Caenorhabditis elegans: one gene and its partner. The protein of the gene in region 1 interacts with the protein of each later gene in a pairwise test. Each region holds a gene or a part of one and is shown on either strand. Other genes may lie near its edges.

Region 1 (8,131 bases):
ATCCTCCAGCTGCCCCCTTTTTCTTTCCCAATGCTCCACCGAGCTCCTGTCTTGCTCCAGACCGTCTTCCGGTGATCCTTCGTTGTAGCAATTCTATCTGCCTCAGCCGGGGTTGAACTTGTCCACTGCCTGTCGATTGATTACTGGCCCATCACCTTACCGTTTGGCCGTTCGCGCACGCGAGGAAAAACAATAGACTTCGCATAAATAGCGATTAGCTCGCGCTCGCGCATTTTCTTCTGGTTTTCACGTCTTACACCAACTTTTTCGATTGTATTTTCAGTAGTTTCTGATTCTCCATCTTGCCGTTGGACTTATATGAAAGCGAACGATAACAATTGACAGTTTCGTGTAGTTCAGAACTTATTTCGCATATTTCTCAACATCTACCTATACGTGCTCCATCTACTTGTAATACAGAAATGGTACTTACCATATTTCCTCTATTAGTCTTGCATGCAAGACTAATTTTCGATTGGACCGGGTTGCAATACTAATAGAGGAAATAAGGTATATGCGTTCTATTTGAATGATACCTTAATTTCTTAAAATACACACGGAACAGAAACGATATGATTCCAGAATGTATTGTTAGTAAAATATTTTATGATATTTCAAAAAATGCTCCTGTTGCTCAGCTTAAGAAGACCAGCAGAGAGAGTGAACGTTGCGTATACACAGTATCTACCCAATTGTGGCATTTCATCTTTTTTATTGATATGTTTATAGGATTACATTAATATAACCTCTTTTACACACAATGTCATGCTTAATAGCCTCAGTTAGATCGCATGCGATTTGCGGGCCGCGTACGGACCAGTTGGACGGATGATAGACAAAATGGTTGCCCAGAGGAATTTTTTTTCATGAAAATTGAGTTTTTGAAGTACCCACAATGCTATTTGGTTCATTGTAGCCAGTTGGCTAATTTTTTGCCTGATTCAAGGTTTAGTTTTAAAAAGTGCAGTTTTGCCGACCGGGACGGTTAATTTACGGACCATCTACGGACCGGCTACGGCCAAACTACGGATGATCACCAAAACGGAGGATAATACGAAAAAATTTTTTCATGAAAATGGAGTTTTTGAAGTGCCTACACTCTCCTTTGGCTAATTTGAGCACTTTTCCCGTGCTAGAACCTGAAATTTTCAAAAACAAAAATTTGGTGCCCGGGACGGTTCATTTACGGTCCGTCTACGGGCCGGCGACGGACCGTCTACGGACCGGAAACGGCCCAACTACGGCTCAAGAGCCATCTCGGTCGGTAAATGTGGTTTTTGCTCTAAATAATGCATTTAACGACGTAAAAATTCTTGAATTAGCCAACTGGTATCATAGGTATTTAAAAAAAAATTGTTTTCTTAAAATCCATTTTTTCCTCTTAATGGCCATTTTTTACATTCCCCGTAGTTTGCCCGTAATTGGTCCGTCCCGCTTTTCATATCCGTAGTTCGCCCGTTAATGGTCCGTTCCCGGTCCAAGATCCGTAAACGGACCGTACCCGCTTTGCCTGTGTGAGCCTCAACCAAAATATTTTTGCAGAAAACTGTCCCAAAAACATGCAAACTACAGTATTATTACATATTCTCCGTTGTGGAATATTGCAGACGAGTATGATATTATGTGGCCACAAACTATGCAGGATATCTATATTTCTATTGGTAAGGCATAAACTGTAAACTACAAACTACAAACTACAATTTTTTTATCACTATAGTTTGTAGTTTGTAGTATGATTCTTGAATACTAAAAACTACAAAAATACTAATTTCAGCTGTCATGGTTCCGGTCGCACTGCTCTTCATTCCACAACCACTCTGCTCAGTTATTATTGGTGAGTTTTGTAGAATTCGTAGTATTTGTAGTCTTCGTTGTCTATGTAGTCAAACATCGCAGGCTTAAATATCGCCTCCATCGCATTCGGAGTCATCGGAACCATGTCCTTCCTTGGTGTCAGCCTGGATGCCACGTCAATGATTACTGTAGCAATGAGTGTCGGATTTTCAGTTGGTAAGACTTGGCTACAAGCTACAAACTACAAACTTTAAACTACTAACTACAAACAATAAACTACAAACTACAAACAATAAACTACAAACTACAAACAATAAACTACCCAATTTTTGTAGCCTTCTCCAATTATATCGTCGAAAATCTGCACCCTTCACTACTGTTTTGAAAGCTCTTGGGGAGCAAAAGTCTAAAAATTTTACAAAAAAAAATTAAAAAAATTTCCAGATTTCGCCGCCCACGTCTCTTACGCGTACATGACAGAATCTGGAGCCCAAATTCCGGGAAAAAGTGCAATTTATTCACGATTTTGTCACACTTTGGGTACAATCGGCTGGCCAGTCACACAGGCTTCAGTTTCCGTACTTTTGGGTGTTTCTTCGCTGTATTTGGTGGATAGTTATGTGGTTCAAACGTGTTTTAGGACTGTTGTATTGGTTATTTTATTTGGTAAGTGTTGTGTAAATTCGCTCTAGTGAACTTAGAAAGTTTGGAGGTCTTAGGGGGCCTGGGAACTGACATGCGGGGTGATGGCCTAGAAAATCCTAAATGTGATTTTCTAGGCCACCTAATTTGGAATTAAAAAAAATTTTGGTAATGAAAATGAGCTCTACCAAACTACTTTACTCATACATCTCCATAACATCTGGGAGTTCACATATAGTTTGGTGGCCTAGAAATTTATAAAATTTTTGGTTTCTAGTCCAGCAACTTCAAAAATTTCAAAATTTGTGATGATCTGCTTTACTGAAAATTTGAATCACAGCTGAAGCTAGTACTACCGTACCCCAAATTTAGAACCCTAAGAACTAACATACATACTGGTGGCCTAGAAAACACAAAATCTGAATTTCTAGGCCAGCAACCTTTAAATTCATTCCAGGTACCACCCACGCATTGGTCTTCCTTCCACTTCTTCTAATGAACTGTCACAGGGTATTTGACTACTTTAAGACAACTTCCACGACTAGTACGGAGCCGTGAAATTGATAAAATATCAATTTTTGTGCAATTTGTAACTTATTTATTTATTTCGTTTGTACATACATGTTTTATTTTGGTTTGAAATAATTTTTTATTCACAAAAACTTGAAAGCAATTCGATATCCAAATTTCAGGTTCCAAATTTCAATCTCGTTATCTGTGTCTCTCTAGGAATTCGTTCTTTTCCGATATGTTTTAGAAAAAGAGACAAAGAGAAAAATAACAATGTGTTGATTATATGTAAATGATTATGTAAATTTGTGCCACCCGAAACTCCCTGACCGTTTTGAATGATGTCTGAAATGATTTTCCGAAATGGAAAATTGAGGTGCAAGATGAGAGATGCTTAGACTACAAACTACAAAACTATCTTAGCCTGAACCAAAAAATACACAGTATCTCAGCAACTGATTTCCAGCAAGAGTTACTGTGTTGTAAAGTACGTAAAAATAAAAACAAAATTTTAAAAAACCAGGTAACTTTGCAGGTGAAAAGAAAAAAAACCAATTTTTGGGATTTTTCGATTTTCAAAATCTCATAACTTTTACTAAACTTATCAGATTTTTCCAATTTTAATTTATTTTGAAGCTGAATATGTTTTCTTATAATAAATCAAAATTATTATCTGATTAACAAAATTTTTTTAAAAAAAACCTAATCCCAAAAGCTCCAAAAAAAATTTTTTTCGAGTTTTGGAAATTTTCAAAATAGCATAACTCCTTTCAAAATTGTCCAAAATTTAAATTTTTTAACTTTTTTTGAAGCTCAATTTTTTAAAACTTTTTTTTCAGTACCACAAAACATTCCAACCAGTGTTTCTAATTTTCCCCGCCGATAAAGTCTTTTGGAACTCAAAATCAACGAATTTTGATAATTAATTTCAGATAAAATGACAGTCTTTTGTGCCAAAAAATGATTCAAAAATACCCCTAATATTCAATTTCCCTTTCCCTCATTGCAAATTTTGTTGTAAAGAAAAACGGAAAACAAAAAGAGACAGAGATGATAGGAACAGAACAAAAAATGGGCGGAGCCAAACTGAGTGGCTCATCTCCGAGAGAATGTGTAAAATCAGGAGAACACAAAGATATTAACACACGGGCGGTGCTGTTCAGTTACACGACGTTTTCATCCCCAAAAACGTTACCCCTAACGTCCCGCCGATATTTCGAATTTATTTTAAAAATTACGAACGATTTTTGGATTTCTGAAAAAAGTTTTTAAAAAACTTTTTTTCGGATTTCCTAAAAAATTTCTTCTACTTTTTCACTGTCCACCAACATCTCCTGCCACCAGCCAACACATTCTTTCTTGCACACGAAACTGTCATTTTAATCTGAAAAAATAATTAAAATCAAAATCAATTGATTTTGATTCCCAAAATCTGAAAAACCATGCTTCATAACTACGACGACTTTGGCGGCGGGAAAATGCAGGGCGCGCCTCAGGTGCCCCGAAACACCTTGTTGAGTGTTGGTGAGTTATTTTTGTAATAATAAAAAAGATAATTGTTTGAGCTTCAGAGTAACTTAAAATTTGGAAAATTTAAGCAAGTTTGAAGAGACTTAAGTTTGGAAAAAATTCGAAAAAAAATGTTTTTTTTTGATACTTTTGAAACTGAAACTTTTTTTGACTTATTGTCATATATTAGTCTAAATATAATTTAAAGTTAAAAGAATATATATTAAACTTCAAAATAAAGTAAAAATTAGAAAAATCTATTGGTTTTGAAAGGAGTTATGATATTTTGAAATTTGGAAAACTTTCGAAAAAAAATAATTGTTTTCGAAAATTTTGAAACATGTGTTTTTTGTAAATTTTTTGTGCAAGTATAGCTTTCTGTAAGAATTAATTGTTTTCCATAAAAAAATTTGAATTTAAAAAAATCTGATAATTTTGAAAATTTAAGAAATCTCGAAAAAAATGTTTTTTTTTTAATTGTGAATCTGGTTTTTTTTTTGGTTTTTGTATTTTTCCTATAAAATTAAAATGTTTTTATAAAAAACAAATATTTTGCTTCAAAATAACATAGTAATTGTACAAATTGGGTAATTTTGGAAGAAGTTATGAGATTTTGAAATTTTTTAATTTTTTAAAAATAATTTTTTGGAAGTTTTGAATTGAATTTTTTTTCAACTGATAGTGAAACTAGAAAAAATAATTTTAATTTTTCGATAACAATAAAAATTTTAGCTTCAAAATAAATGTACAATTTGTTAAGCCCGATTTTTTTTGAAAAAAATTACGGCATTATATAATATAATAATAATAATATAAATATATAATATTCTGATAATATTCTGATCTGATTTTTTGTGAAATGTTTGCAATAAAAAATTGCGAAACCTGAATTTTTGTGCAACTTATTTTAAAAAAACTGTTTATTATTTAAAAATTTTAAAAGCTAAATATTCAGCTCCAAATTGTATGACCAGTTTGCATACAGTTAATATTTTTCAAAGAATTTTCTAGAGGTAAATCAAGGGATTTTGGAAACCCTTTTGTAGTTTGTAGTCCCTCAGTTTGTTCCCAATTTTATAGATTATTTCTGATTTCATAAGCGTTTTTGCAGTTCGTAAACTCAGATTTCTCTCACAGCTGCACTCGATTTTTACACACTTTTTCTTTTCTCCCGGGTGCTCTTCTCTTTCTCTGCGTTTATTCATCCCACATACTCTCTCACATATTCACCCGTTCAGCTCATATATCATCTTAGCTCGTCAAAACGACAAGTTTCTGGTAAAATACTGATTGTGAAAGTAGAGGAAGGGAATTCTACAAGAGTTTATAACTACAAAAAATGACCTCAACCGAAAATATGTTGGGTGAGGCTATGAAGCTTTGTAGTTTGTAGTTTGATAGACTGAACCAAAAACTATAGAGTTGAAGCCATGGGTGCGGGTTTTTCAATGTTTTCAGAATTCTCATGAATCCAAAAATTCCGTTTTTTGATTTATCCATTTTTAGAAGAAAAGTTTTTTTGTTTTATCAGCTGGAATAGCCATCCCGCAGCCCAGCATAAGGCTTAAGCCTAAGACTAGGCCTAAGCCTAAGACTAAGCCTAAGCCTGAGCCCAAGCTTCAGCTTAAGCCAAAGCCTAAACCTGAGCCTAGGTCTAAGCTTAAGCCTATGCCTAAGCTTAAGCTTAAGCCTAAGCCTGAACCTAAGCCTGAGGCTAAGCCTAAGCCTAAGCCCTCGTGCTAGGTAACTTTGTAGTTTATAGCCAAAAACTCAACTAATCAAAAAATAATATTAGTTCATTTATTTCCATCTAAATCAACCCATGTTTAACCCAATTTTCCTCCCCCTCCATCGTTACAAAGTCGATCAGCAAATACCTGAAAAGCGGCTCGCCGAGCCGCCACTTAACATTGTACAGAAGCCGACAAAGGAGAAATTGTTAGAAATGAAAAGACGCAGACAATGTTAAAGAGTTCATTCGTGTATTTTTGATATAAAATTGATAAGGATTAAGTGGGGGGAGAAGACATTTATTTGTTTTTGGAGAAATGAGAGATTTTTGAGACTTTTCGTGAACTTTTAGAGGTAAAAAGGTAAGGGGTTTGGAGTTGGGAATTTGAAAATATTTAATTTGAAAAAAAATATTATTCAGAAAAATTTCAGTATTTTGTTCAGTTTTCAGTAATGATTTCAATTTTCAAGTTAAAAAAAATTGTTTTAAGTAAAATACAGTTCAGAATCCACAAAAATTGATTAAAAATTAAAAATCGACATTTTTTGGTTTTTTTAAATTTTTTTTTCAACAGAAAAAATCTATCAATCATTTCAGCGTTAAAAAAATCTTCAAAAATTTTTGTGCCGAATTTTTTAAAATCAAAATAAAATACCAAAATTGATATTGCTATTTGAAAATTAAATAATATACTTTTTAAATTATTTATTTGATTTATTTTCAAATCTATGCGAACAAAAAACACACCACATACTACATACTTTAAATATTTGTTTAATTTTCAAAAGTAAATTTTATTTTAAAAATCCAGTATTTATTCAAATTAGCTAGAAATGTCAAATTAATTCAGCTTAAATACTGAAATTTTAAAAACTTTATAGTTAAAAAATTTGCACAATCAATTTATTTTAAAATATGATTAAAAGTAAAGAAAAACTTTTCAAACTAAAAGTGAATATTGAAAAGTTCTGAAATGTTTTTAAATTTTTGGTACTTGTGTATTATTTCCCCTCGTTTTATTATTATCCATTTTAATATAGCGTGATGTCCAGTTTCCCTTCTTAGGCTTAGAAATGGTTATTTGCTAAGACTAAAAATACAAAAACTCCACACGTTTTTATTTAAAAAATTATATTTAAAAATGAGGGGAAATAATACACAAGTACCAAATTGTTTTAAAATCAATTATTAAATCTGAATTGTTAACGTTTATTTGAAAATAGTAATATAAAAACGGAAAATTAAATGTAATTTTTTTTAGAAAAATACAATGTTTTTTTTAACTATCCAAGTTTAAAAAAAAATTACTTTCCAAAAAAAAATTCCAAAAAAACATTTTTTTTTCAGAAATTTTTTTTCCAAAAATCCAAAACTCTCCAAACTTTTTCCAGACCAACAACTACAGCTAATGAACACAATCAACAATATGGTACGTGCGAGCCAATTCACTTCACAACTCGCAAACACGATCTTCACACTTTGTGCTCAACTCAAAACTTCGGGTTCGATGCTGGAACAATCACATAAAAGTGAGTGGCCTAATTTTTTTTTTCGGAAAGTCAGGCCATCAAAGCTCTATAAGTGAATAAGTGAAAATTGCAGAAAAAATTCAAAAAAAAAATTTTTTTTGATCATTTTTGAACATTTTTTCCAAAGTTTTAAAACTATAATAATTTCAATTTAAAAAATTTTTGCAGATGAATTAAATAAAGTTTTCACATCATTACGTCAAGCATGCTGTCGAGATAATGGACAACTTGGGACACCGTGTCGATTGAAAATTATGGAACTTGTCGAATTACGGGCAATGAATTGGAGAACAAACTTGGCACACAGCCAATATTATGTCAACAGGCCGGAAGGACGTAAGACTACAAACTACAAACTAGAAAACTACACGCCACAAACTACAAACTATTAAAAAACCTTCGTGTGTTCCAGAAC
Region 2 (7,022 bases), on another chromosome or scaffold:
ATAAAAATCCTTCTAAATGTTTCCGGTAAATCTGATATCCTTCAAACGGCAAATTGGCAATTTTCCAAAATTGAAAGTTTTCGGCAAACCGACAATTTGCCGATTTGCCGAGTTTGTTGACAAAAAATTTGCCGAACGACAATTGCCGCCCGTTCATTTAATCAAAAAACACACACTTATTCGTAAAAGTGACAATTTTTCAAAGTTTTGCCTGAAATTTTTCAAAAATCTAACTGTTTTTTATTGTTATTTTTAACTACTACACATTTTATCATTAGTCAAATTGTTTCTGAAACAAATTATTTTTAAACTTTGTCTTAATTTTGAATAAGATAAAACTAAAGTTGAAGGCAACAACACTCACAAGTTTTCTGTGAGAATAATGTGTTAATACATCAGGAACTTGACGGTTGATAATATAGACTTTTTTTCAGAAAACAGTGTATTGTCAGCTGAAGTTTCAAAACAACTCGAAGAAGCATTCCTGCAAAGAACAAATAACCGCGAGGATAAAACGCTACGACCAAAAGATATCAAGGCTCTTTCAACTCAATTGGAGATTAATGAAAAAGAAATTGAAAATTGGATTGCTAAGAAAACTGAAGCAACATCGGGATCAAACTCTACCGAGCAGCAGCAAAAACACAACATTTTGAGAATCTTTGCATCTTGTCGTAGGAGACTGCCAAAACTGAATATTGAAGGGTTGAACAAATACTTTGCAAAAAACAACAAGCCTGGTGTGAGACAACGAGAAAAAATCGCAAAGAAACTAGGGCTCAGTGAACGTCAAGTCAGAAACTATTTCAATAAGAAGCGGATTACCGAAAGAAAACTGAAAGTTTGGAAAGATGCGCCGAAGGACTTTTTAACTCTCTCTAAGCAAACAGTTGATGAAATGATGAAAATTGCTGAGGAACGAAGAAAACCGAATGATGAATATATTCAAGTAAGATTTGTTTAAATTTTTACTAGAATATTTGTATTGGTTTCGCGTTTATGTTTGAAATTTTAAGCAAATTAAGCTTATCTTAGCTAAAATTTCAAATGTCTTTTTTTTCGGGTCACAGCTGTTAGAAGTTCAACTTTTTCAATTATGTTTTTTTGTCGCATATTTCAATTGTTTATCACACTTTTTTTTTTATTAAATAAGGTACATCTAAACGGGGATGAGCGACAATTGCCGTTCGACAAATCGGCAAATTGTCAGTTTGTCGATTCGCCGAACATTTTCATTTTTGGCAAATTGCCGATTTGCCGTTTGCCGGATATCAGATTTGCCGGAAATGCTTAGAGAGATTTTTTATAAGACGGAAGCACTGTCTTTTTGAATTTTCCCGTTTTTTCTACATATTTTCTTAGAATTTGCTTACTTTTCAAAATAGACGTAGGAAGATTCATAGGATGCCGTTTTTCCGGCAAATTCGGCAAATCGGCAAGATGCCGGTTTGCCGATTTGCCGGGGGAGAGCAGCAAACTCGCCGAGTTTGCCGTTCGCCTAATTTCCCGAGCACGGCAATACAATTTCTAACTATTGATTTTGTCTCCAGTTTTTTCAGCATGGCAAATTTGCCGAATACATTTTTTGTGTAATGATTTAACAATTTCTAATTAATTTTCAGATTGCAAATCGTCTTGGAGTTTCCCACATCACCCTTTGCAGCTTCATCGACTGGCAAAAGTCGATATATGCTGGCAAGGCAAAGTGAATAAATGTCAGTCGTGACTTTTTTATAATTGAATAGTTGTTTTTCTTTCAACAATTTTTTTAATTTTGAATGATTTCCTTTTCCTAAATTTTAAGGGTACAAGTAATTTTTTGAGTTTGAAATAAACATTGAAACTTTGTCTGTTTTAGGATAATTAATAGGTAATCTTAAAAAATATTAAATTTCTATTACAGTTGTGTATTTTCTTGACCGGACTCACCAGTAGTCGTACCAAATTGTATTAAAATATCACGGTCAATTGTTAGATGCTATACAAATAAAGAGCCAGAAGCTTTCCAAAAGCTAGTTCAGCTTCTTATAAAAACTATGTAAAATGGTTGCTCGTGATCAGAATCGGCCACCGTTTGATAGGAATGTTCAAATATGTAAGGAGGGGAAAATAGTTACGGGTCAAAATTCAACAATTTTTTTGGTTACATACCGCTTTTTCTGATATTGTGTAATTTCTGTTATGAACTACCATCTTTAATTTAAGGTTGATGCGCTCATTTCGCGGAAAACTTTTATTTTTTGCACAGCAGCGATGTAAAAAGATCTAATGTAAGCAATTTTCAAACATACGAAAAAATAGAATATAAAACGTCGAGTTTGAGAAAATCTCAAAATACTTAGAAGTTGCTATAAGAACTCATGATTTGTATTGGGGGTGCGCGGCAATTGCGTTTTGCCAATCGAATTTTCGGCAATGTCCAAAACCCGCAATTGTGGAAACTGCCGATTGCCGGAAATCAGAATTACAGGAAATACAAATTTGACACTTTTTGTAGATTTAAGAGCCTAAACATGCATGTTACTAATAGTGAATAATGTTCTTTTTTCAAGCGCAATGTAATTTAACCAACCGTGGACCGCACATACGGCGCGGCCCCCTTACTTTTTTTTAGAAAAGACATAGGATATACGGTGCGTATCGCGGACCTCAATCGATGCCTACTGCGCATTTAGCATAAGGTTTCCCAAAATTTCGTTGCTCTGATCAAAGTTCAAACTACATAGAAACGGAAGGGCATAGCCCTTTAAATATAGTAAATGATCTTTTGAGGATTGACAGTTTCGTTCTAGAAAATGACTTATTGAACACTAAAATACAAGGTAAATTTTTTTTCAATTTCCGAAATAAAATTAGGTTTGAAAATCGCCGAAAATGTCCGGCAATTTCGGCTATTGCTGAAATTGCCATTTGCAGGAAATTTCCGACTGCCGCTCACCCCTGTTTGTATCACCATCCGACTGTAAAACAAAGAATGCAAATATTTAATATGTTTCAGAACGGTGTATACCTGTTTGCATCCATTGCCGGGCAAAAAGTCGAACAATTTTGACGGTTAAAAAATCTCCAGGTTCAGTATTTACAGCAAAATGATTAATTTGGAACTTTTTGACATTTAAGTAATTATCTCTCAATCCTCTAAAAATTCAAAAATTGAAATGTTTCACTTCACCGGCTTCTCATTTCTATCCGTTTTGCAACTCAGAAATATATATTGATATATATATTGATTCACCACACTCCAACACTATTTCTTCTCTGTTTATAGTTTTCTCTGCGCGTACCTCTTTTTTATTTGTCACCGGTGCTGCAGCCACTCGCCGCATCACACAGAGAAACCGCTCGCGCGTCTGCATTGTTCCGTCACGGTGTTTGCAGACTTATTTTGGGAAATATCGGTTTTTGCGTGTCTCTGTTTCAATATCACATTTGTTTTTACCTAATTTAGCACTTGACTATTTCAATTTTTCGACATTAAACTACTGCCTGATATTTTGCCACACATATTGTTTTCTTTTCAGCAAGTAATGTCCGAAGAACCAGTCGCAGCTCCTGGAACCATCTCCCACCCAGTTTACAAACTGAAACGCAACTGGACCTGGTGGTAAGCTATTGACACTTTTCCCTAGGCATCAAGATTTTGAATAAATTTTTGAACATAAGGAATAAACGAATTTGTAGGTATCTGAACGACGAGCGCAACAAATCGTGGGAGGAGCGTCTCAAGAACGTGAAAACCTTTAGCAGCGTCGGAGAGTTCTGGGCACTTCACGACTCTATTAAGCCGCCAAGTGGGCTCAATCCACCATCAGATTATAATGTTTTCAGAGATGGAATTGAGCCAATGTGGGAGGTGAATTTTTTTTTTGATTTTTGCGCTGATGCACACGTGGTATAAATATTTTCATAAACACATTCCAATGTGTTTTCAGGTGCCACAAAATCAGAATGGAGGAAGATGGCTTATCACTATCGAGAAAGGACGCACTCCGGAAATCATGGACACTATCTGGACCGAAATTCTTATGGCGATGATCGGAGAGCAGTTTTCCGACGATATCGAAAGTCTGTGCGGAATTGTCTGCAACGTCCGTGGAAAGGGCTCAAAAATCTCAGTTTGGACTACAAACAGTGCTGATGACGGGGCAAATCTGAGAATTGGGTAGGTTTTTATAGTCTAAAAACTAATGAGGTTGTAGAAATAACGTTATTGGTTATGAAACTAGTCTAGTTGATCATTACATTTGATTGAGCCACAGACAACTTCTGGGTGTTACAAGACGCAATTCATCCGTTCAAAAACAATTTTCCACTGCTAACCGTTTGCAACACATAACGTTATTGGTTATGAAACCAGTCTAGCGCATCTTTCATATGTACCACAGAATTTGATTGCTTAATGGTCAGCGAAATTCCAAAATTATGTTAAAGCAGCGGTACATGTAAAATTGACAGGCAACTGTAGAGTAACTAAAGTGAAACTTTCAATTTTGCAGAGGCGTCTTGAAGCAAGTGCTCAACAATGCAAGCATGATCCATCAGAGACCACTCTACGACGTTCTCCGTTATGAGGATCATGAGAGTTGCCAGAAGAAGACGAGCTCAGGAGTCAAAGCGAAGCACGCCATTTACGCGGTGGAGCCACGCGAGGAGAAAGCCCCAGTTCCAGTCTCAACCGAGACTCCTGCCACACCAGCCACTTAAATTTCTTTTTGATGCGTTATTTTTATTAACATATATCTTGTTTTTTTTTAAATCCTAATGCGTATTCACGTCGTATTTTAACATGTTCTTCACTTGTTGAAATGTTTTTATTTGGTTGGCTTGCGGAAATGAACGAATGTTTTATATCTGTGTTTTCCTTCAACTGAATAAAAAAAGAGTGTATTATCATCACTTAGTTTTCTGGATTTTTTTTTTCAAAAACTACAAACTGACTTATAACGTGTCCATGATTTGATGAGAACTGCGGACGCCCGCGTCTCTCTTCTCCACACGCTCCACACGCTCTCTCGCGATAGGCGTTTTGCCTAGACGTTAGACAGCGTTCGAGAAAAGAGACACAGGTGCTTTTTGCGCGTAAGATATGGCGATTTTTCTCACCCTCACATGGATACGTAGCACAAAAAGTCTATTGGGTTTTCAAGACAAATTTTGAAGTATAGCGTCCGGACCGGATACATTCATTGCGTCCGGTGTGTAGGATTTTCGAAATTTTCCAAAGGGTAGGATACCGTGAACGGCGGCTGACAATTTCCGAGTTAGGCCACTCTTATAATCAGTGGCCAAACTCGGAAATTGTCTGCCGCCGTGAAAACCTACCCCTCGGAAAATATTCAAAGTTCTAAGTGTTCAATGGAAAACATTTAATTTTAATTTGGTTTTAATTAGCTTGAAAATTAATTAGACAAGATTTTAAAATTGTCTAATGGAAAACAAACATTTCTTAAATAATGAACCACAGAATTTTTCAATTTTCTTAGCATTATCCAGTGTTGAAACCAAACAGCATTTCTTTAAAAACTTTTATTGAATTTAAAAAAGACAACGTTTAAACATACAAATGGTGGAAAACTTTTTAAGCAAAAATTCTGCGTTAAGCTTGTTTAATTACAAATTTTACAGCTTATTCATCTGTCCTGAATTGTAATTAAATGGGGAAATGGATGAGAACCGAATGAAACGCTTGGAAGAAATGGAGTTTACGGTTGGATTTTTCGTCGAAAATTTGTCCAAATTTTTTTTGCAGTATTCAATTTGCCAAGCATGGTGGGGTGATCTCAAATTTAACTACAAGAAAAAGGAAATAAGATCTCTTCGAATTTCCGTTAGAAATGTTTGTTTTTTTGTTGTCCAACTGAAAAAGAAATTTATAAAGTACCTAACGTTTCAAAGTTAAGTAGTCGGCTGCAATATTAATAGAGGAAATACGGTATATGATAATCAATTTTTGCAAAGTATTCAATTTGAGAATTTTTCCACAATTTTGCAGTTACCTAAAAACTCTGAAAATGAAAATGATTTAGGATACAGATAAATTCAGACTGGAAACACCCGTGAAGTAGCATTTGAATTCCCGGTACCAAGTCTCGACAAACAGAACAGTGTTTCAATTAATCTCTCTGCCGTTGATGTGTCTCAAGTACTGGTGAGTAAAAACTGTGGCATCTGTCATTTTAAAAAGCGTCATAAATTTTCAGTCAAAATTTATTGTGATTTTTTTTTCTGAAACGGTCGGAAATGTTTGAATGAAATAACTTTTTGCACAAACCACATTCTCATGGAAAATTTGAAAATTTTCAGAATTTTTTTAAAAAGTTGGATTGACTGTTGATTTCTATTATAAAATTATGAGTAGCAACAAAGCGGGGTTGACCGTGTTTGACTGCAATATAAGATGTGTACCAGGGCTGTGCGGCAACCGGCAACCCAAGTTTGCCGGTTGCCGAAAAGTTGTTGAAGTTTCGGCGACCAAAAGTTACCGGTTGCCAAAATTTTTTGGGTTCGCAACTTCGGCAATTGCCGGTTGCCGAAAATCTCGATTGCCGCACAGCCCTGATATGTACTTACACAATTCTTCGGAAAACTTTTAAAATTCGAGGTGCCGAAGTGTGCCGGATCATTTTTTTTTGTTGTATAACAACAATTTTTGCAGTACTCAAGCCCTCAACTTTGCTGTAGTCTACCTACATCTCTTATACTCCGTCTGTCTGCTCAAGGCATTCAAAAAATCATTGAGAAAGTTCCGGTGAATGTGAAAAAGTGGGAAAGTTTGCTTAAAAATAAACAGAAAACCTTCCAGTGTTTTTCGGAGTAAGGCCAAGTTTTTATTTGTTGAAGTATCGTATAATTTTAGTTCACTAATGTTTGTTATTGATCCTTCGAATACCAACCGTTTTGTTTGTGAAAACAACGTCAAGGAAATAACCATGACTTCATATACAGAAGAAACGACTTACTTTTTTCACTTTGTGAGTTGGGTTTTCTATGCACGAACAACGTACGGTAACAGAAGAAATACG

What was found. The genes of interacting proteins can lie anywhere in the genome.
Region 2: the proteins of mxt-1 (region 1) and ife-2 interact in binary tests that used the Caenorhabditis elegans proteins (3 or more experiments, as listed by UniProt).

What each region holds. Positions count from the first base shown.
Region 1 is NC_003279.8:12,840,240-12,848,370, forward strand, and holds the start of mxt-1 (Eukaryotic translation initiation factor 4E-binding protein Mextli homolog), read left to right. Parts: upstream 1-4,029; 5' UTR 4,030-4,388; coding exon 4,389-4,470; intron 4,471-7,578; coding exon 7,579-7,716; intron 7,717-7,884; coding exon 7,885-8,052; intron 8,053-8,128; coding exon 8,129-8,131. Other genes in the region: ptr-17 (SSD domain-containing protein), read left to right, coding at 1,543-1,661, 1,775-1,834, 1,897-2,010, 2,239-2,460, 2,894-2,994. UniProt on the Caenorhabditis elegans protein: Plays a role in promoting translation.
Region 2 is NC_003284.9:379,209-386,230, reverse strand, and holds ife-2 (Eukaryotic translation initiation factor 4E-2), read left to right. Parts: upstream 1-3,521; 5' UTR 3,522-3,527; coding exon 3,528-3,604; intron 3,605-3,681; coding exon 3,682-3,853; intron 3,854-3,932; coding exon 3,933-4,162; intron 4,163-4,496; coding exon 4,497-4,704; 3' UTR 4,705-4,846; downstream 4,847-7,022. Other genes in the region: ceh-93 (Homeobox domain-containing protein), read left to right, coding at 435-949, 1,623-1,709; R04A9.3 (NPL domain-containing protein), read left to right, coding at 5,663-5,707, 5,750-5,836, 6,044-6,148, 6,656-6,813, 6,857-6,971. UniProt on the Caenorhabditis elegans protein: Recognizes and binds the 7-methylguanosine-containing mRNA cap during an early step in the initiation of protein synthesis and facilitates ribosome binding by inducing the unwinding of the mRNAs secondary structures.